3 linked regions of the Caenorhabditis elegans genome follow. The protein of the gene in region 3 purifies or fractionates together with the protein of the main gene of each other region. This does not show direct contact. Each region holds a gene or a part of one and is shown on either strand. Other genes may lie near its edges.

Evidence for each region.
Region 1: the proteins of alg-1 (region 3) and ain-1 purify together in Caenorhabditis elegans (affinity purification with western blotting; 8 studies listed by BioGRID, with this or other methods). This does not show direct contact.
Region 2: the proteins of alg-1 (region 3) and dcr-1 purify together in Caenorhabditis elegans (affinity purification with western blotting; 6 studies listed by BioGRID, with this or other methods). This does not show direct contact.

What each region holds. Positions count from the first base shown.
Region 1 is NC_003284.9:16,611,504-16,618,194, reverse strand, and holds ain-1 (ALG-1 INteracting protein), read right to left. Parts: upstream 4,745-6,691; 5' UTR 4,703-4,744; coding exon 4,522-4,702; intron 4,479-4,521; coding exon 4,326-4,478; intron 4,269-4,325; coding exon 3,450-4,268; intron 3,325-3,449; coding exon 3,233-3,324; intron 3,189-3,232; coding exon 2,673-3,188; intron 2,324-2,672; exon of another isoform or gene 2,175-2,323; intron 2,113-2,174; coding exon 1,948-2,112; 3' UTR 520-1,947; downstream 1-519.
Region 2 is NC_003281.10:8,077,263-8,081,928, forward strand, and holds the start of dcr-1 (Death-promoting deoxyribonuclease), read right to left. Parts: upstream 3,020-4,666; 5' UTR 3,013-3,019; coding exon 2,962-3,012; intron 2,917-2,961; coding exon 2,754-2,916; intron 2,660-2,753; coding exon 2,526-2,659; intron 2,481-2,525; coding exon 2,321-2,480; intron 2,256-2,320; coding exon 2,116-2,255; intron 2,064-2,115; coding exon 1,692-2,063; intron 1,260-1,691; coding exon 1,077-1,259; intron 1,033-1,076; coding exon 904-1,032; intron 860-903; coding exon 617-859; intron 571-616; coding exon 416-570; intron 348-415; coding exon 1-347. Other genes in the region: apc-2 (Anaphase-promoting complex subunit 2), read left to right, coding at 3,390-3,442, 3,486-3,615, 3,750-3,882, 3,928-4,054, 4,098-4,341, 4,387-4,534, 4,584-4,666. UniProt on the Caenorhabditis elegans protein: Component of the ERI/DICER complex which is involved in processing amplified double-stranded RNA (dsRNA) intermediates during small-RNA-mediated gene-silencing or RNA interference (RNAi). Involved in cleaving dsRNA in the RNAi pathway.
Region 3 is NC_003284.9:13,947,918-13,955,220, reverse strand, and holds alg-1 (Protein argonaute-1), read right to left. Parts: upstream 5,733-7,303; coding exon 5,699-5,732; intron 3,960-5,698; coding exon 3,721-3,959; intron 3,619-3,720; coding exon 3,446-3,618; intron 3,300-3,445; coding exon 3,129-3,299; intron 3,076-3,128; coding exon 1,613-3,075; intron 1,558-1,612; coding exon 605-1,557; intron 553-604; coding exon 514-552; downstream 1-513.

The DNA of each region.
Region 1 (6,691 bases), 2.7 Mb from region 3:
TTTTTCAGGCTATACATTTGCTCATGCATCATTGGCAGCTTATATTTTGTATACTTTTGGTTTTAATGCGACAAGGTCAACTGTCAAATTATTTTATGTTTGTTTTTTCATATTTATTTTACATACTATTAGTCGGCCAAAATGCTACAATTTAAGTAAGAATTGCAGAGTAAATCTGGTTTCAACTTACATTAATGATTTTGAAAGCCTCCGAATTCTTTGAAAAATGTGTCCTCGGTAGTATAGTGGTGAGTATCCGCGTCTGTCACATGCGAGACCCTGGTTCAATTCCCGGCCGGGGAGAATCTTTTTGACAAGCTTTTATTTTACGAGAAATGGTTTCTGGCTGCACAGGTGATACCAAAAAGCGGTTGCTGAACAAATTGGCTATTTTGAATACAAAATATTAATTGTGTTTCTATCATACACTCAAACCTAAAACTTGAAATAAATATTAAAATAAATACAGAAACAGTGCTATTTCATTTCTGCTCCCTAAAATTGAACATTCCAGAGTTTAATTCACAACGTTTTATTATACGAGAATAGAACCAAAGGTGATGTTGGACGGCATGGGTGTTACAAGTAAAGTATGGTAAGAGATAAGAAAACAGTTTTGATTATTACATGTTCATGCGAGATTTAATCAAGATTTTTGAGAGCCGGAGTGAGAAATGAGAGAGGGGAATTGACAAATTTCTGGAAGAGAGAGGGTCCCGAATTGTGAAACTGTACTGCACATAATGAGTTTATTTGAAGTCCGGTAAGTTTGGAGAAGAAGACAATGAAATGAGAACACCATTTTGTTTGAAATTGAGAGCGAGAATTCGGAAAAGGGCCGTACTAGGAATTGACCTGGTTTCTAGGGAAATGCTGCCGGGACGACGAGTTTATGTATCGTTTAGAAAGGCGTTTCTTGTATTTATTTTTGTATGATTTTCAAAGTGTGCGCATGTAGCTGATTGAACCAATTTTGACAAGTTTTCAGGGATAATTTCATCACAATTTTTGGTTGGAACTTAGTGAGTGAGGGTGAGAGCAAAAAGAGACAAGAGACGGGAGACATTAGCACATTGAAACTGTAAAGAATGACGTAGAAAAGACCCAGATTACAAATGACGTTTGGAAGCAAAGCATACACAGAAATTTTGATTCAAATTAAAAATGGGAATAGCTTGATTGAAAAGTGAACGTGGGGGATTAAGAGTAGTGGGGTGAAAATGCTCGCAGAGGCTCTGCAGAAAGTGCAGTTTTAGTGGAAATAGCCCCAAAAACTGAATTATATTTTCGAAAGGATACAATTTAAAAAAAGAAATACAGTATTTTGATTAATATGGACTTTATTATATTTTGAGGTTTGGATGTTATGGAAAAGGGAAAGTAAGATGGATTTACGCGTGGTTGGAAATTGTTGGAACAAAGACCCCTATTATGAGAGAGAGAGAAGAGAAGGTATGAACTGGCAGACATAAACCTGGAATCCCTGTGAGACCAAGCACCAGCCACCAAATTATTCTTAGTGGGAGGGGGAAAGGCGAGAGCCTCCCCTTAAACAAGAAAAATTGATTATCTGGAGATGGCAAAACGAGAGGTGAAATACAAAAAACGTGTAATTTTCCCCGTCTGATCAGCAGTAAAGAAGGAAGGAGACGACAAGATAGAGAGAACATTCACAAGACCACGTTTACAATAGAAATCCGGAGGCAATAAAGTAAGGAAACAGACACACACACACACGAAATTAAAGAGAAAGGGGGAGAGTAAAAAAGTATTGAAGAAAATGTCAAAGGTCACTGAGACAAGTTAATGGGAAATGATGATGACAAGGCTGAAACTTTGAATTTCAAATTTCCAAACTTAAAATTCAGATTACAGTGCGAAACACAAAATAAAAGTAATGATGATAATTGTTCGTGTGTGGGAGAGAAGATCGGTGGGCGATACAATCTATTCTAAGAACGAGTAGTGATAGTCCTCCGTTGAGGCTGGCGCACGTTGCTCCTGCGGTTGCACAATTCCAGCGTCCATCAGCGCACGGTTCACTTTTTTCGAGTATTCTTGAACTTCAATCTTTGCTGTCGTCACTTCGATGATGAGACGATTGTGTTCAAGCTGGAAAATTGATTTGTTTGGTATTCATATTATTCATCTTTGCAAGCAATCGAACTGAAGTAATCTGAGCTCCTTAGCGATGCGTCTAATATTTTTCAAAAGTTTGATATTAAAGGATTAAAGGACGATCCGTACTTCAGGTGTTATGCACTGCGGATCTGGAATTCAGTTCCGTAGTGCACTGTCTGGTGGGGCTCCCACCGGGCTATTATTTGAGCCACGTTCAAGCCGGGGACCGTGACCGATAATCCAGTCGTTGATTGCTCCACTTCTCAATAGAGGCTGGGTAAACCTAGGGGGCTTGAACTCATGACTTCCAGCTTGCTAGCGGCCACCACTACCGACTGAGCTATCCCGCCGCCCAATTTAAAATCTAGGTTTAAGCAGGATCTAAGCTAGTTTTCTGGTAAGGTTGATATTTTAAATTTCTAGCAAAATGTCTAGCTTTCATTTGTTTCCTATAATAATAGGTTGTAGTATGATAATTATTTTGGCTTCTACTATTTTAATTTTTCATAATTTTATCCTGAACAACCTGAAAACTCGACAATCTTCCTCACCTTTTGACTATCATTCATGTACTTTTGTTGATTCTGTGGATCAACCTCTTTCACATCTTCTGGCAGAGAACTCTCAATTATCTGCTTCAGCTCATTCTCCACACTATCCAACGCTGGAATTTTGACGAGCAGCATATTGACATACTGCAGCACCATTGGCGGTAAGTTGGCCATCATCGTCACGCTCTGGTCCAGGTATCCCTTGTCGACAGCGTTCTTCAGCATCTCCGCCACAGCCACGTGTTGATTGGTTCCGGGCTCATTGAGTGGAATTGTTCCTCCCTGCACCCACGATCCAGTGGTGTTGTCACTGGAGAATGTTGAAGTGTGCTGATTCGGAAGATACCATGGATTTTGCTCAGTTGTCAAGTCGTTCCATCTGTTGTTCTCGTCGAATATCGTCGACTCGCTCTTGGACGGATTGTTTGGATCATTTTCTGGAAGCTCTCCCCATCCGGTCACAACAATTGGCCGTTTCGCTGGTACTGGGAATGGGAAACGTTGATTGTCCTCTCCCTGAGACATGAAGTTCAATTTAATACCTAAGACAACAATATTACCTTTTTCTGTGGTACTGGACATCGGTTCAATGCAGTTTCCAAATCCTCATCGGCACCTTCGCCAACAATCCACAAGCTAATGGTACGGTCAGCTGCAAAAATAGTCGATAATAGGTGATTTCTATAGCAACACATTTAGACTAATTTCAGTTTTTCATGAAACAATGGAGAATTTCATTCAATTCCCACCAAGGAAATATTTTTTTAAAAAACTCACTTTGCTTCTCCGGGTCTCCCCAATAGGACACTCCAGTATCTCTCTGCCATTTCTTGAGTTCTCCGTTTGGATCATGCCAAACAGTCAGTGTGAGATCATCAGCAGCTCCGCCGATTGGGAATGGATTGTTGTACTGCTGGTCTCCTCCCATGAACTGCTGCATGCTTCCACCACTTCCATTGTTTCCGGTGCTGTTCCACATATTGGATCCTCCGCCACTCTGGCTTCCACTGTGTCCCATTCCACCACGGTTGTTGTAGTTTCTTTGACCGCCGTGGCCTCCTTGACCTCCACCAGCATTGTTATTCTTCCATGATCCGTGTCCACTATTCGGAGCAACACCCATATTTCTCATTCCACCCATACCACCTCCCATGTGCATATCCATCGGTGGTGGAACTGAAACGTCAACACCGCCACCCATATTGCCAGAGTACCGTCCCTGGTTGTGGTTTGGACGACCGTTTCGGGGCGGCATGCCTGACATTCCACGATTGCTGTCCTGCCCCCATGGACGGTTCATCTGCTTGTTGCCACCCATGTTATTCGGGCCACCCCATCCCCCTTGGTAGTCTTGCTGCTGCTGCATCATTGGCCCACTACGTTGTCCTTGTCCTGGTGGTCCATGTCTCATGCCTGTATTCCAGGCTCCCTGCAGCAATGGCATCGGGTATTGCTGATGCTGTTGAGGCTGTTGCTGTTTCCAAAAGTCATCAGATTCTTTTCCCATTCCTCCGTTACTCCAAACCGGGTGCGCTGGCTGAGACCCTATGGACCAAGGCGCAGATTGACCTCCAAGACTATTCAATTCACCGAACGCTGAAAATTTATAGATTTAAATTTATAAATATAACGTCTAATCAAATTTGAACTTACAGGCATGTGGTTGAAGTGGATACTGCACATCGCTCAATGGTGGATCACCCCATATCTGTTTCTCATAATCTGTATTCTGAATGCCACCCCATTGGCTTTGACTTGATGAGCCTGTGCCACTGAGTCCAACAAGGGCTTCGTTGACATTTGGCTCTGAAACAATTTTTACGTCATCAAGATTACAATTGCCAATTACCGATATCGTTCGATTCCTGTTGCCATGGCGATCTGTTTGGGAACTGTGGCTGCGGTACCGGCGGAGCCCAGACACGTTGCTGCTGGAGACCGTTGTTTCCCCATACAGGCTGTTGGTCGTTAGGATGCCACGCTGCGTCGTCTATTGAAATGTTGTTGAAGTTTTTTGCGAGACTCTCCATGGTTGCGTTGATCGCGCTCTGGCGATCAGAGTTTGAGCTTATCTGTAAAAAATGGAATATTATTGATTGATGAGTTTTGGCGAGAGCGTGATGGTAAATGATAGATGACAAGAGAAAACAAAGAAACTGATAGACTGATTGATAACACTATTTGATTTCGACATGGGTACATTGGTCGAACAACATTAGCCGCGTAACGAGCAGGATTTCATGAAGGCAATTGAAAATTTTACGGACCAGGAGTATCAGCTTAATAGAAATTTTATAAAAAATGATCTAAAGCCATTCAAACAGTATTGAGCAAAATTATGTTTTACAAGATCATTGTCAAAGTTAGAAAGCATAAACTATTAATTAATGCAATACTGCTAGATAGAAACAAGTTCAGTGTAAAAAGCGTTCTCCTGTAAAAAGGTAAACATTAAAAAATTTAATAAGTTTTGTACAACCTACATAACTACTGTTGTAAAGAAAGGCCCCAAAAGCCCCCGGGGCGCTGCTGGCTAGGTGGGAACTAGGCGGACAAGGGGTTAAGGAAAAAGCAGGAAAGAGAGAAAGGAGAAGGAAAAAGCAGAAGAAGGAGAGAGACTAGTTAGAAGAGGGGTCTGGTGCTTCGCAGGCTGGTTGGCTGGGCTGCTGCTGCTGCTGCTGCTGCTGCTGCTGGCTACCCCGATCGAGGGCGAGAAGGCGACCGGCGACGACATTGCGCGTTTCTCTCCCTGTCTGTCTCTCTCCATCTCATAGTGAGAGGCCAACATCAAATTGCTTGCCGGGCGAGAGACGCAGCGGAAACTCCCCGTCTTTCCACTTTTTCCTCGCTTCACTACTACTAACCCCCGTGAGTCTGTCCGCTCACGCTTCACTCATCAGACCACCCTCCCGCACTCTCGCTCTCTCTTTTTCTTTCACGAATCAATGAGACCGCTGTGTGTATGTGTGTGTGTGTGCAGAGAGAAGAAGGAACGTAGGGTCAACTGAGAGGGTTTCATGTCGTGTAGAGACGGAGAAACCGCACCGCCGCACACTCACGCGCTCATGCGCTCACCACCGCACTCATAGACACTCATCGACGTGCGCTCGACCACTCACCACCATTTCTCTTCATCTCTGGTGGTTCTCCCCGTATCTAACAGTATATACGTCTGTGTGGCCAGTTCTACACACACACACACATACACACACTACCAATATATTTTCGATATGTGGGATGGACGGGACACACGAGCGAAGATGGACGGGATGAACAGCGGGACGGGCGACATGCCAAACTTGAAACACTTTTTGGTTGGAAATAGATTCGGAGAGAAATTGATTAGGAACTTGTTAATTGAGGATACTAAGGATATTTAACAGAAATTCACCAATTTTCTGAAAATTTGACATTACAGTGGTTTTTCTCTGTTATGAAAAGTTGGCTATATCGTAACTTTTTGTACTTTGTGAAATATTTAAATTCAAACAGGAGATGATAAATCTAAAAAGGAAAAAGATGAAACATTATGTTGAAATTCTTAAGACAGTGTTCATTAATTTGACACGCCAAAACAGCCGAGGCTATCAATTTTTGGTGACTGAATTTTTTCGACCTTGTGTGCCGCCACCGCTCGGGAACCAGAAACTGTGAGTGCTAGACAGTTGAGGGTTTGTTTTCCTTCGCATCAAGTTCACGTGACCCGGTGAGGTGGAAGAGAATTGGGAATGAGAAATCTATACTGTTTTTCACACGGAGAAGAAAACATGAAGAGAAACTTTTGAATAACGAGAAAAATGTTTTTCTTTTTCAAAATTGAAAATAGAAGACAAAAAACAAACACGCTGAGAGAAAAGAGGCAATTAATAAAAGAAAAAACGACCAGTAGAAAAAGCAGGTGTTATTAGGCTCCGGGAGAGAGAAAGGGTCAAGCGGGAAGTGTTGGTAGTGTGGTCCAGCGCGGAACAAGATCGCGAATGCGTGTAGCAATTGGACAGATGGGTCGTCGAGATAGTACG
Region 2 (4,666 bases), on a different chromosome or scaffold from region 3:
TTCGTTTTGATGATCCAACTTTAGCAGCAATTCCAGGTGCATACTCATCCGGCTCCTCATCAATATGTTCTAATAATTTGGCAATCGACTCTCTTCCTTTTGGAAGTAAATTATCATCGAGTTCTCCTTCTAAATGTAATTGTCGACATGCTTCAAGTGCAACTGCCATCTGTGCAGTCTTCTTATTTGGCATTGGATTTTTGAGCACAATTGCATGTTTGATCGGTGAGTTAATTGGAAGAAGAAGCTCTGCACAGTATTTGGTCACTCCATTCTCTTCAATTGGAATGATTTGATTGTGTGGAACAAGACGAGTGAAGATATCGGAAGGAAGCTTCGAACAATATCTGGAAGATTACCAATTGTTTGTATTTAGCTGTTGGATTAAACTTCTAAAGTGAAATTATTAATATACCTATTAATTAATGCGATAGCAGTTGACATTTTCAATGTTGCACCAGTTTTTTCAACAACATATGGTTCCATTTGAGAATCAACATCAAATTCTTCAAATCTATCCGAATCATCTTCAATAGGATTGTTGACTGTACGATGGCGGCTAAGAAGAATCTTAATATCATTTTTTAAACAATTGAACTGAAGATTCCAATATTACTTTTTCTATTTGCTGGAAATCTTTCAAATCACTATCACACGCCGCAGTATCTTTCTCCTCAACAGTGATAACATATCTTGATCCAGCTCGCCGAGCTCTTCCCTTTGACTGAACGTATGATCTCATGTCAAGTGGTCGATCAAATTTAATCACAAGATTACATTGTTTAACATCTACACCTTCTTCAAGCACTGATGTAGCGATAAGACAATTGATTTCATTTCGATGGAAACGGCGAAGAACCTAAAAATTATATTTAGACAATGATAATTTAAACATAAATTTACTTCAGTTTGTCGTTTATGTAATCCTTGACTATCCGAACTCGCCAAATTTCGTCCGCTGGCTCCAACGACGTAATCCGGGTTCACAAACTTGAACTTAGGCTCCCATGATTTAATATGACGCATCATAAGCTGAAAATTTACAATATATTACCGTAACATTCATATAAACCTACAAGTAACGAATATGCAATGTACCGTTGATCGACAAAAATAATGGCTGATAAATGTTCTGCTTTTTCTAACTTCATTCGTTCTTTTTGAAATTCGGGGTTGAAAGTTTCTAGGATTTCGAAAAGACGTATGACACGTTGAGGAACATATGGACGGAGAGCTTCAATACTTTTGATTTTCTTCATCTAAATTGGAAAAAATTGGTGTAATTAATAGTTGATTGCTTACACTGGAAGTTGGAAAATGCTAACTTGGAGTTCAATATAGAATAGTAATTTTAGATTAAAAGTGTTATTGAGGATCATTCCAAAAATTCAGCTGCGTCCGAGCAGTTTCACCCCTTTTGAAAAAACTTTCAACTTAAAAAAAGTGTTTCCAAATATTCGTAAATTGTTTTTAAAAAACATATAGCATTCAAGCTTCAGCCCATAATTCTCAAAAAGCCATGAATTGAGCTACAATCTTACAATTTGAAATCTTGCTCAAGATTTGTAGCTCTCTTGGTGAGTAGGGAGTTACGAACTTTTTCGAATGATAACACTTTTTTGTCGAAAAATTGCTATACCATAACGATACTTCGAGGTACCATTTTCCAACGTCTCTTGTTAGGTACGCACCTCCGGTTCCAACAATCTTTTAATCGTAATCATAGATGTTTTTGCCATATTCAAAAACCGCAACGTCTTATCCGGTAGCACTTGAGATTTTATAATTTTTCCCAACTCTTTCTCCCAAACTTGAGCCGTTCGCCATGCCGCCCAAGGTCCCAGTTGACGAAAAACAGCTCGCGTCGTCTTGAGAGAATCTTTAATCGGTCTACGAGGATCCAAATCTAGATCTGGATGAAATTCTGTTGTGGTGTTCACAAAGGCTACAGTTTCATCAAATATTTCTATAACTGTGTCGAAATTCGGAATACCCAGGCACCCAATTTCAAAGTCTTTGCAGATGATCACAACTTCATAGGGTTTCGCACCGTATTTCGAGAGCTAAATTAGTTTTATTGGAAACAAGTCTTTGTTTGTCTTTTTTAAATCATACCGAGACTAAATCACTAGCTGTCTCTATAACACTGTCCATCGCAGATTCCAACTTTTTTAACTGTTCCATTAGTTTTTCCGGCGCAACTTTCGCTTTGATAAGACTGGCTGTGAGTCCTAATACACGTGGGACGGGTTTGTCTGAAAAAATATTTCCGTATTTTGAAGCGAATTCGAAGTTTCACCATTAATTCCTCAATACTTACCCTTTTTCAATAACTTATAATCGACCATGATGCTTCTGTATGGATGTTGAGAACCGAGAGCATGATGACATTCGTCAAAGATCAGAACACACATGTCTTCAATTTTCAAGTACGCATGTCGAATCAAATCAAGAAGGCATTGAGCTGTGATCACAACAACCTGAAATATATATGCTCGATAGTTCAGCTTCGTATTCTCACTCACATGGTGCCTCTTCATGAACTGATCACATTGTTCTTTGCTGTCCCATAAACCACTACTTGTCTGTCCGTGGACCTGACCAACTTTGAAACTTGTGTGAACTTCGATGTGGATAGCTTGTTGTTCAACGAGGTTTACTGGAAAAAATGATGTTTTAGAATAAATCTTGTTTTTTTTTGTCAATTATTCACTTTACTGGCCAGCTGGCTTATTTTTAATAGACGAAATTACCTTTCTCTACAACAAAAAACGCTCGTTTTCCACCCTGATCCAATGGTGCAAACAATTGAACTCCATATTCTTTCAGCAGTAGAACTGCAATGAAAGTTTTTCCTGAACCAGTGCCTAGTTGGACGATTGTGTTCTTTTTTGTCGCTTTATCCAAAAGTTCCACCTGAAAATCGATTATTTTTAATTTATTTTGCTACTTAAAAATTACCTGGTAGTCCCTGGGGTTAAAACATTGTAAATCAGCTCTTACCCTGACCATTATTGGTCTGAAAACAGGGAAAATTGATAATGTTCAAAAATTACAATAAAAAATAATTGCCGCTGACTGCCCCGTAGTATGCGCTCTACTGAACCAATGTCTATGTCTCTTTCATGGGAACATTCAAAAGACGGAGGAAAAGTGGAATCGACAGAAATTTGAAAGAAAATACTCTGAAAAATCGTGTGAAAAAAAAGAAACAAACATTTTTTCGTATAATTTTTAAAGGAACATTTATTCGCGGTTTTTGTGGAAATGTAGTTTCCGAGACCCCAACCTTCGTTTTAAGCATGATCCTTTAATATATACAGTTTCTCACACATTTGTCATCGTTCTCTTCTCGTATCCTTGCTGAAATTATTTTAACCATTTCGAAAATGTCCATTTTTGACAGAATGACTACTTCGAAAGAGGCTGCGATGAAGTACAGGTATGGAATTTTTGAAAATGAGTTCCGTAAAGACAGTTTTCAGACAATTTTGCGTCTCAAAGAAAAAAGAAGTCTGGGATGCTCTGATATATCACGCAAAATACGCAAAAAATATTGAAAAAGTTTATGATATGACGACAGTTCTGCAACGAGTACAGCAAGAATGCCTGATGGTGAGTTTTAAAATTTTTAAATCCAATCAAGAACAAATTAGCCTTATTCTCAATTAAATGCTCTGAAAAATCTTCTCCTTATGGAAAACGGTCAGAAAATAGAGGTGTAACAAGCTAATGGAAAATAATTTCAGTTTGCATTGGAAAAAGGCGTTGGTCAACCGGATATTCGCGATGCTGCAGAGCTCATCTTCCCACTGGCCATGCAGAAAGTTGTTATCAAAGTTCTCAGACCTTATTTTATGTCGCACTTCACTAATTACAGACGTATTTTTTTTTCATTCAGCCCCAGTTTCCAATAACATTTTTCAGTTGCCATGTACCTTCCTCATCGAAAAATCGATCATGGAATCGATTTAAACCAAGAGCTGTGGACACCAGAAAAAAAAGAAATATGCGGGCAATATGTTCAAGATTTTAATCCTTTTGTCAATGAATTGTGGGTAAAGCCTGACTTCCTAAATTATATATAACATTTTCAGAAAAACTGGAATTCTCAATGCAAATCGTCACATGAACGCAGCACTTTCAGTGTATATTCGCGAGCTTGCTGCAACATTGGTGATGCACGAGAAAGCGGCTTTTGACAATGAGCTGAGATGTTCAATGTTTCAAGAAATTATGGAGAGTCTGAGGATTTGGTCAGATCAAGTAACAATGCAAGACGCATTCCATTTAATTAGTGACACTATTTACAAAGATGTCTTCCAAATGCTTTCCAAAAACGTGAGTTTTTAAAAAAATTTGGAACCTAAAAAATATTTTTTGTAGGCATATGAAATGATCGCCGTAGATTTTCCAGTAAAATTTCGCAGTCTCATCACAATGAAATATTGCCTTTTGAGAACTAATAATCATGGGAGAGTCGATTTCACAAATTACTTGATAGATCAAGTTAACACAAAACTTCTTGTTGCATGTAAGTTGGTGAGGGGAATTATTTAAAACTTAAATATTTAAAATTTCAGCGGTTGATACAAAAGACATTTTGAAAGCTTATGCGGCGTGCGTAGAATCTCTTCGTGAAATGGACAATAGTTGCGTGGTTATG
Region 3 (7,303 bases):
GAAGCATTTCAAGATGATTGCTCAGCGAGAAGATGTGAGTGTGAAGAGAGGAGTCGTAGTGCTCGGTGCTCTCGGAGGTTACAAGGTGGAAAGACGACAGCAGTGCATTTGGACAATGTAATCAACTGCGAGGAAAAATATTAAGGATATTAAATGGGTTTTGAAGCTTTGTAGGCTACCAGGATGAGAGGAAAAGTCACTAAGTAAAGGCATTTTGGTTGTGGGAAGTGAAAAATGGATGGAAGAAAGAAAACAGTTACACGAGAGGTAGCGGCAATTAGAATTACAAATTAAATATGGAATTTGAAAACATAAGAGTCCGATTATAGAAAAACATTATAACATTGTAGCATATTGAAATCAATTTGAATGGAGATACAGATACAGATAAAGACACAGAATTATCAAGATAGATATTAGGTAGACATGACAATATTCAATACTCGTCTTCTGTTAGAGCAAGTTGGTGAGTAATAGCTATCTATGAAGTCGATTCCTAGGCAGATTCCTAGTTTAAGCAAAGTACATGACGTTGTTGGCATCCGGATGAACCTAAAGTGTTTAATTTTTTTCAAATAGAAACTAAATTAAATGCCAATATTACCTGCACAGCTCTAGCCATGTTCGACAAGGTGGTATCCTCGGAAGTTCCAGATGGCTGAGAACCTTCTCCAGAGTCATGCTCGCGATCGACAAGATGATAACGAGCGCGGAACGCTACCAAATGAGCATAATATGCTGGCGCTGGAATTGAAACGGATCGTGTGCATCTGACGTAGGTATGGCACATTTGATATGTGAGCTGTTGAAGTTCGTCGGCTGTCAGATTGTTGTCATCCCAAAGAACATGGTAATGGGATGGACGAGATGTTCCTTGAATACCAGCATGAGAGCACAAGTAGAAGTCAAACTCGGTTGGGTGGGTAATTCCTACATCGACAGTAGTTCCTGGCGGAATATTGTATGCTTTTCCGACTTGATCCTTCTTATCAACAGCAAAGAGACGAGTGTGATGTCTCTTTTGGACGGCGATGAAAGTGATTCCTGGTTGATATCCTCTTTCAAGCATCATGCAAGCCTCGCGAATCGCGCGAAGCTCATATTGAAGAACGTTGAAGAATTGCCCCTCAGAAACTCCATCACGGTAGACAACGATTCTGGCTGGCTTGAAGCGAGTGTTGCGGTAGAATTGAACAAGAAGCTCGCGGACCATGTAGGTTAAATCTGAGATGATCTCTTGACGATGTTGTTGGACACGGACGGTTGCAGCATATCTGCTAGGATGAGCATCCATTGAGCCGACAACTGCTGCGATGGATGGTTTGCGAGAGTCTCCTGCTGGTGGATGAGTGATGTCACATCCAAAGAAAATGACTGGTTCGTTGAAGATTCTTGGGCGTACGTTTGGAAGCAGAATACTGTTGACTCCTCCAAGCTTTACGTTCATCTTCAAGCATAAATTAGAAAGAGTTTGTGGAGTTGTTCGGATTGCGTTCTTGGCTTGCACGCACTGGGTGGCGATACCCAAAACTGTGTCTCCAACACGTTTAACTTCAGCTGAAAAATTAGAAAATAAATAATCAGAAATAAACAAAAAAAACAAATTACATACCATAAACTGGAGTTTTTCCAGGGAGAACAACCACTACAAGTTGAATTCCAGAGTAGTTTTGTTTCAAGTACTTGAACATTGGCTCAACCTGCTCGACTCCAACAGCGTACTTGCAGAAGCATGGATTTCCGACGATTGGCATACCAGCGTCGTTGGAAATCCGCTGAAGCTGGTTGGTGAACATGCGGAGATCGTTCTCCTTGACATGCTGTTGTTGAGCAAAACAAGCGATCGCCCAGACACGAACATCGATTCCAGTGTGGAACTGTTTTCCACGCATATCCCAAACTCCTTGATTCGGGAGAGCGGTGGCTCGAGTGCGTCCACCGTAGAGAAGTTTTGGAGCAGAAAGAACGCGTCCCTTGACTTCAGTCATTGCTGGGTTGATGGTGATTCCGAATTCGTGAGCAAATGGATCAGCTGAGAACTCGGCCTTGCGGACCAAGTTGGAAATCTCACGCTCACGTTCTGGAGCAGAACGAGCTGTAGCCTTAATCATTGTCGATGTCTGCACATCCGTAAGCTTCTTGATGCAACGTTGTCCTGGAACAATGTTGCACACCTCTGGTGGCAGGTAGGTGTGCTTTTGTTCCTGTCCAACTTGGAGGCATGGCAAGTGTGGGTATTTGAGTTGAATTCTGTACTTGTCATAGAAATACTTGGCGACAGTGCACTCAATAGTTTGACCAGTCTCCAATTGAAGTGGGAAAGTTTGAGTTTGAGCTGGACGACGAGTGACGTTGCAGACACGATACTTTCTGCGCATTTGTCCACAGTGGGTGATTTCAATTTTGAGACCACGAATTTCCTTGGTGAACTTGACACGTTGAGCATCAGATAGAGCACGACGCTCAGCAAGAGCTTGAACTGGAAGCTCCAAAACTTCGGCGATGAACTCAATGACTGGCATGGAACGATAGAAAGCAGTCGCAGAGACATCAATGTTAAGCATCATTTTCCACTGAGATGGGCGAACCGACTGATGGAATCCAAACCAGACTTCACGGCCACCCCCGAGTTTGCTCTCGGCGTGATATTGTCCAGCGGAGTGGGCACCTCCTGCGACAGCTCCAGAAGCCTGGGGAGGGCATGATCCTGCCATGACTCCAGAAGCATTAGGAACTGGTGGCGAGAAGAATGAACGTCCGACAGGAGTGTATTTCAAGCTTGGAAGATGACGAAGAATGACATCCATAGCTTGAACGGCTTCGAATGGAACCTGGCGAACTCTTCCTTCCATGGCATCCTCCAGAGTGGAGAGAGAAACTTGTCCGACCCATTTCAAAGAAACCGAAAATTGACGCTCAACGGCGGAGTCTCCAGGAAGTGTGACATCGAAATCCATACGTTCTCTTCCAATTGGAAGGGGCTCGCGGGTGTACATATTGCGCTTTCCATCGTAAACAGGGCGAATATTAGTGAAGTACTTGGAGAATGCGCTTATCAAGCAGCTGATAATCTCGCTGAAAATTGATACAATTAATAAGTTAGTTCATTTTGGAATAATAATGATTACCGATTAACTCTTCTTGGGCACTTGTCTGGAGTAACATCGACCTGGTAGTGTTGAATAGTTCCTCCAGGAATTCTCACTGCAAAGTGGTTGGCGCGAAGAAGAATTGAGCGACCCTCAACTCCGTGGTTTGGGCGTCGAGGACATTGGAATTGAATACCACTCTGGTTGCCGCTGAAAACATTTACATTTAAAAATTCCACATTTTTTCGAAAATCCCTTTTTTGAAATCAAAAATTAATGATTGCCAGTTATTGCTTCTCACGGGGGTTTTTTTTTTGATTATACCGTATTAGTTCATAACATTTCAAATTTCTTACCCAGGTAATTGTCCCGGTGCTCCGCCTGGTAAACCGCCTCCAAGTGTATTTGCTGGTTCTCCAATTGAGACACTTGTATTACCAATGGGAACTCCTGGAGCCAGGCTTCCGGCTTGTCTTTGAGGAACATCGCTAAATGTTTGTGGCTGAGTAGGCGGAGAATTAAATATTTCCTGAAATACAATGTGTAAGTTCAAAGATTTAAAAATTATTACAAACTAATAACAAGATAATATCAGATGTGTACACTGCGTTTTTAAACGATGAAAACTTACTTCTAGATCATTTTGGAGCGCTGTTGACGCAGCCGCTTGTGCCGACGGGAAAGGCGGCTGCTGGGTGGCTCCAGATGTTGGAACAACTTGCGAGGAGGTGGACGTCGAACTAATCGGTCCACTTGGCAGAAACGACGATGTTGCGCTCTGTGGTTGCTGTTGAATGGTAGAATTCATGACTCCTGGCAAATATTGCGGCCCGCCGGACATTGGGTCGTTTGAGGCGACGTTAGACGACTCTGAAATGAATGTATTGTGAAATGATTGTTCAGGTTTTTTTATAGATCGTCATGCATTTTTGGAAAAAAATTCTACAAATGCAGACAAACCCAAAACTTAAAAAAGAGAAAATCGATATATAGATTGGAAACCGACAGGTTGTTCGTGTGAGGTACGGGGTGGAGGAAAAGAGAAAGAGAAAAGTAAAACAGTGTCGGGCAGCGACGTCAAAGGAGGACGCAACGGCGACTGGACGACGAGGACACGACGAATCGGAAATCGGACTGCTGCGCAAGCGGGCGCTGACAGAATGCATTCCGAAAGATCAAGAGACGCAGACATTCGGTGGCCAGTACTATACGCTATTGTACACTAACAAGAGACTATGCGAAATCAGGAGACGGCAGAGATAGTGTGTCGCGAGAGAGGCGAGTGGAACAAGCAAAATGAGAGAGAGTTGGAAACTACCAAATACAGGGGGAAGCAGGCTGCCGGGAGCGGGTTGGATCGACTCACAAAACAAAGAAAAAGATGGTCTGTGGAGAGAAAGGGAGAGAAACGCGCGGAGTGCTGAGAGCCGATGCGATTAAACATATCGATGTGGGTCAGTTGTCCGATCGGGTGGAATAGATTTGCGATTAGAAGGAAACGCAGAGAGATAGACAACGGACTTTTCGTATGGAAATAGTATGAGTTGAAAAGTGACATAAACTCTAAACAGAAGGGCTTCCAAACAAAAGTGAAATTTGAGAGGCAAAAAGAGAAGGTGTTGGTTGTAAAAATCACCACATCTGGTTGCATACTGTCGTGAATGTGAATGTGGATTTTTAGAATTTTTAGAATTGTTTTTGGCACAATTTTGAGAATTGCAAAAAAAACTAAATGCGCAAAATTGGTAGTAGTAGTTAATTCATCCATTCATTCTGAAAGGATTCCTACATAAATATTAGAAAAATATAACAATTATAGTAAAATTGGAGAAGCACCATAAGGTTGTTCAAAATCACTTATTTAATCACTAAATATTATAGAAAACAATTTCCAAAAAGTTGCTTATTTGTTGCCAGGAGGGTCAACAGAAAGTTTTCACTTCTCATAATTTGAAAGTCTATTGAAAATTATTTCATACAAGTTCTATGCCAAGTGAAATTTCTACAGACTAATCAGAACTTTGACAAAAAAGTTTTATTTATTATCTCAGAAATGTTGAAACTTGGATATTTTTCGATTTTCAATCTCAATTTTTAAAATTTTAAACTTGATTTTAAACACTATTTTCAGTATATTTATCAACGTTCTCACAGACAGTTTTTCGCATTTCAAAAACACTCATAATTATTTTCAAGACCTTTATCAAGTCTCTGTGGTGTCGAAAATCTTGAAGAAATATACATATTTTTCTCAATATCAAAAATTACACTTGGCATTTCTTTCTCAATTTTTAATGCAAATTAACATTATTTCCATTATTGAAGAACACATACAGGATTGTCCCAAAAGTGAACAAATGAATATTTTAAATTATACACATGTGTGAATACAAATATTTTCTAATGGCAAAGTCTCATGAAATGTTTGATGTTAAAGTCAGGGAATTATGTTGCCGGACACCTTTTCAGATTGAATATTAATCTCCCGGAAAGTGCAATTAGATTTGGTGGAAAAATGGAAGAGGAAAAATTGTTAGAAATAAATCTTATGATAACTTCTTTAGTACAGATGTTTATGTTAAGAATAAGTAATAATAAAATAAGCTTACCATTTGTGTTGGTGTTGTTCAGTTCGGCAGCCATGAGAGGGATTGAAAGCGCTGGGTTGGGTCAGTGAGATGGGAAGAGTAGCGGTAGAAGCTTCTGGTTCCTTTAGTTATTGTATCCTTTTAAAGCAATAATAAGGGTAAGGAAGAGGTAGAAGGAGGTAGAAGGACGTCGGTGTTGTCAGTCGGTTACAGATTCGTCTCTTCGAGTTGGCAGGGGTAGTGGAGAAGAAAGAGTTGAACAAATAGTAGTAGAAGAGGAGAAAGTTGATTTTGGCCCGATTGCTGATGATGATTTTCTCAGTGATTGCTATTGGTTAGATTCCTGAATGATGTTAAACTCGTCGTCAGCTACACCGTCTGAAGTGCATATGCCACGAGTGGAGTTGAGAGACTTTCTTGAGGTTTCTCTGAAAATTATTGATGTTTCGGGAAGAAAGAGGGGGAAGGTGAACGAGGGAATGGAGAAGGAAAAAGGAAAAAGCAAAATAGAACAGAAACTGAAAAACAAAATTCGGAATGAACACGATCAAAAAATGAATTCAATGCGAAGGAAGTGTTGCTGGGAAGTTAGCCGTAATTTTCAAATTTATCACCAATTTGTGAAAACACATCAGAAAAAATTGGTGTCTTACTCAAAATTAAAATAAAAACTTTAGAATATTGAAAACTTTGTATGGTATGTGAGCCCAATGTTTTGAATAACTACAAACTGTTTAAAAATGGTCATTTTTAAAATCTTCGAAGCATATTTAATAACAAATCAAACTATCAGCTATGTATTTGAAAAATTTTTCAACTTGTATGAATAGTTTAAGGAAGCTAATACATTTCTGTTTGAAAAATAGCATTTTCAAGATTAATTCAAAATAACGACTTCCGCAAATTCGAAAGATCTTTCAATAAAGAATAAAGTGCATCTGTGAACTTCCTGATCTAGACGAAACACTAAATCCTCTCAAGCACTAAAACTGAAAATGAGAAACGATAATGGTCGGGATAATCTCTTTCCATCAGCTAATCTATGAATACTGAAAAGTACAAGACGGTTCTAGGCCGCACACGCCATTGAAAGCCAACGAAAACCACGGCAGATGGTGGTTAGTAAAAGGGAAAGAAAGAGGAAGAGTGGCAGAAGGACCTATTGGAACTGGACGAGGCTGCCCTGGCATTAGACCAGCGAAAATGTGTAATGGTCCAAGAGACACAGAGAAGCGGGGGGAGAGAGATGCTTTGAGCAGTATAGTGCATTTTATGAGCGGCCTCCCGTCTGTCCCGTCAAGGGTTAAGGTTCATGTTTATGGGTAGTGCCGTGCCTGACACCGAACATGAACAGTTTTGGAATGGACTTAGAAACGATGACAATGAAAATTAAAAAGTTTAACAGACCCAACAATTTAAAAACCAAGTTTCGTTAAAAGATACCCAAGGGGGTGGTTTTTCTTCCGTAAATAATTTGATAATTTTTACAAAAGTGGAAAGTATATTTGCACTAATCAAAAAATTTTAAGCATGAATGAAAGTTTTATGAAATTTGGGTAATATTTTTTGATGAGGAAACAGTTATAAAAGTGCATATTATGTACAGTATGACACTTTTATTTTTCT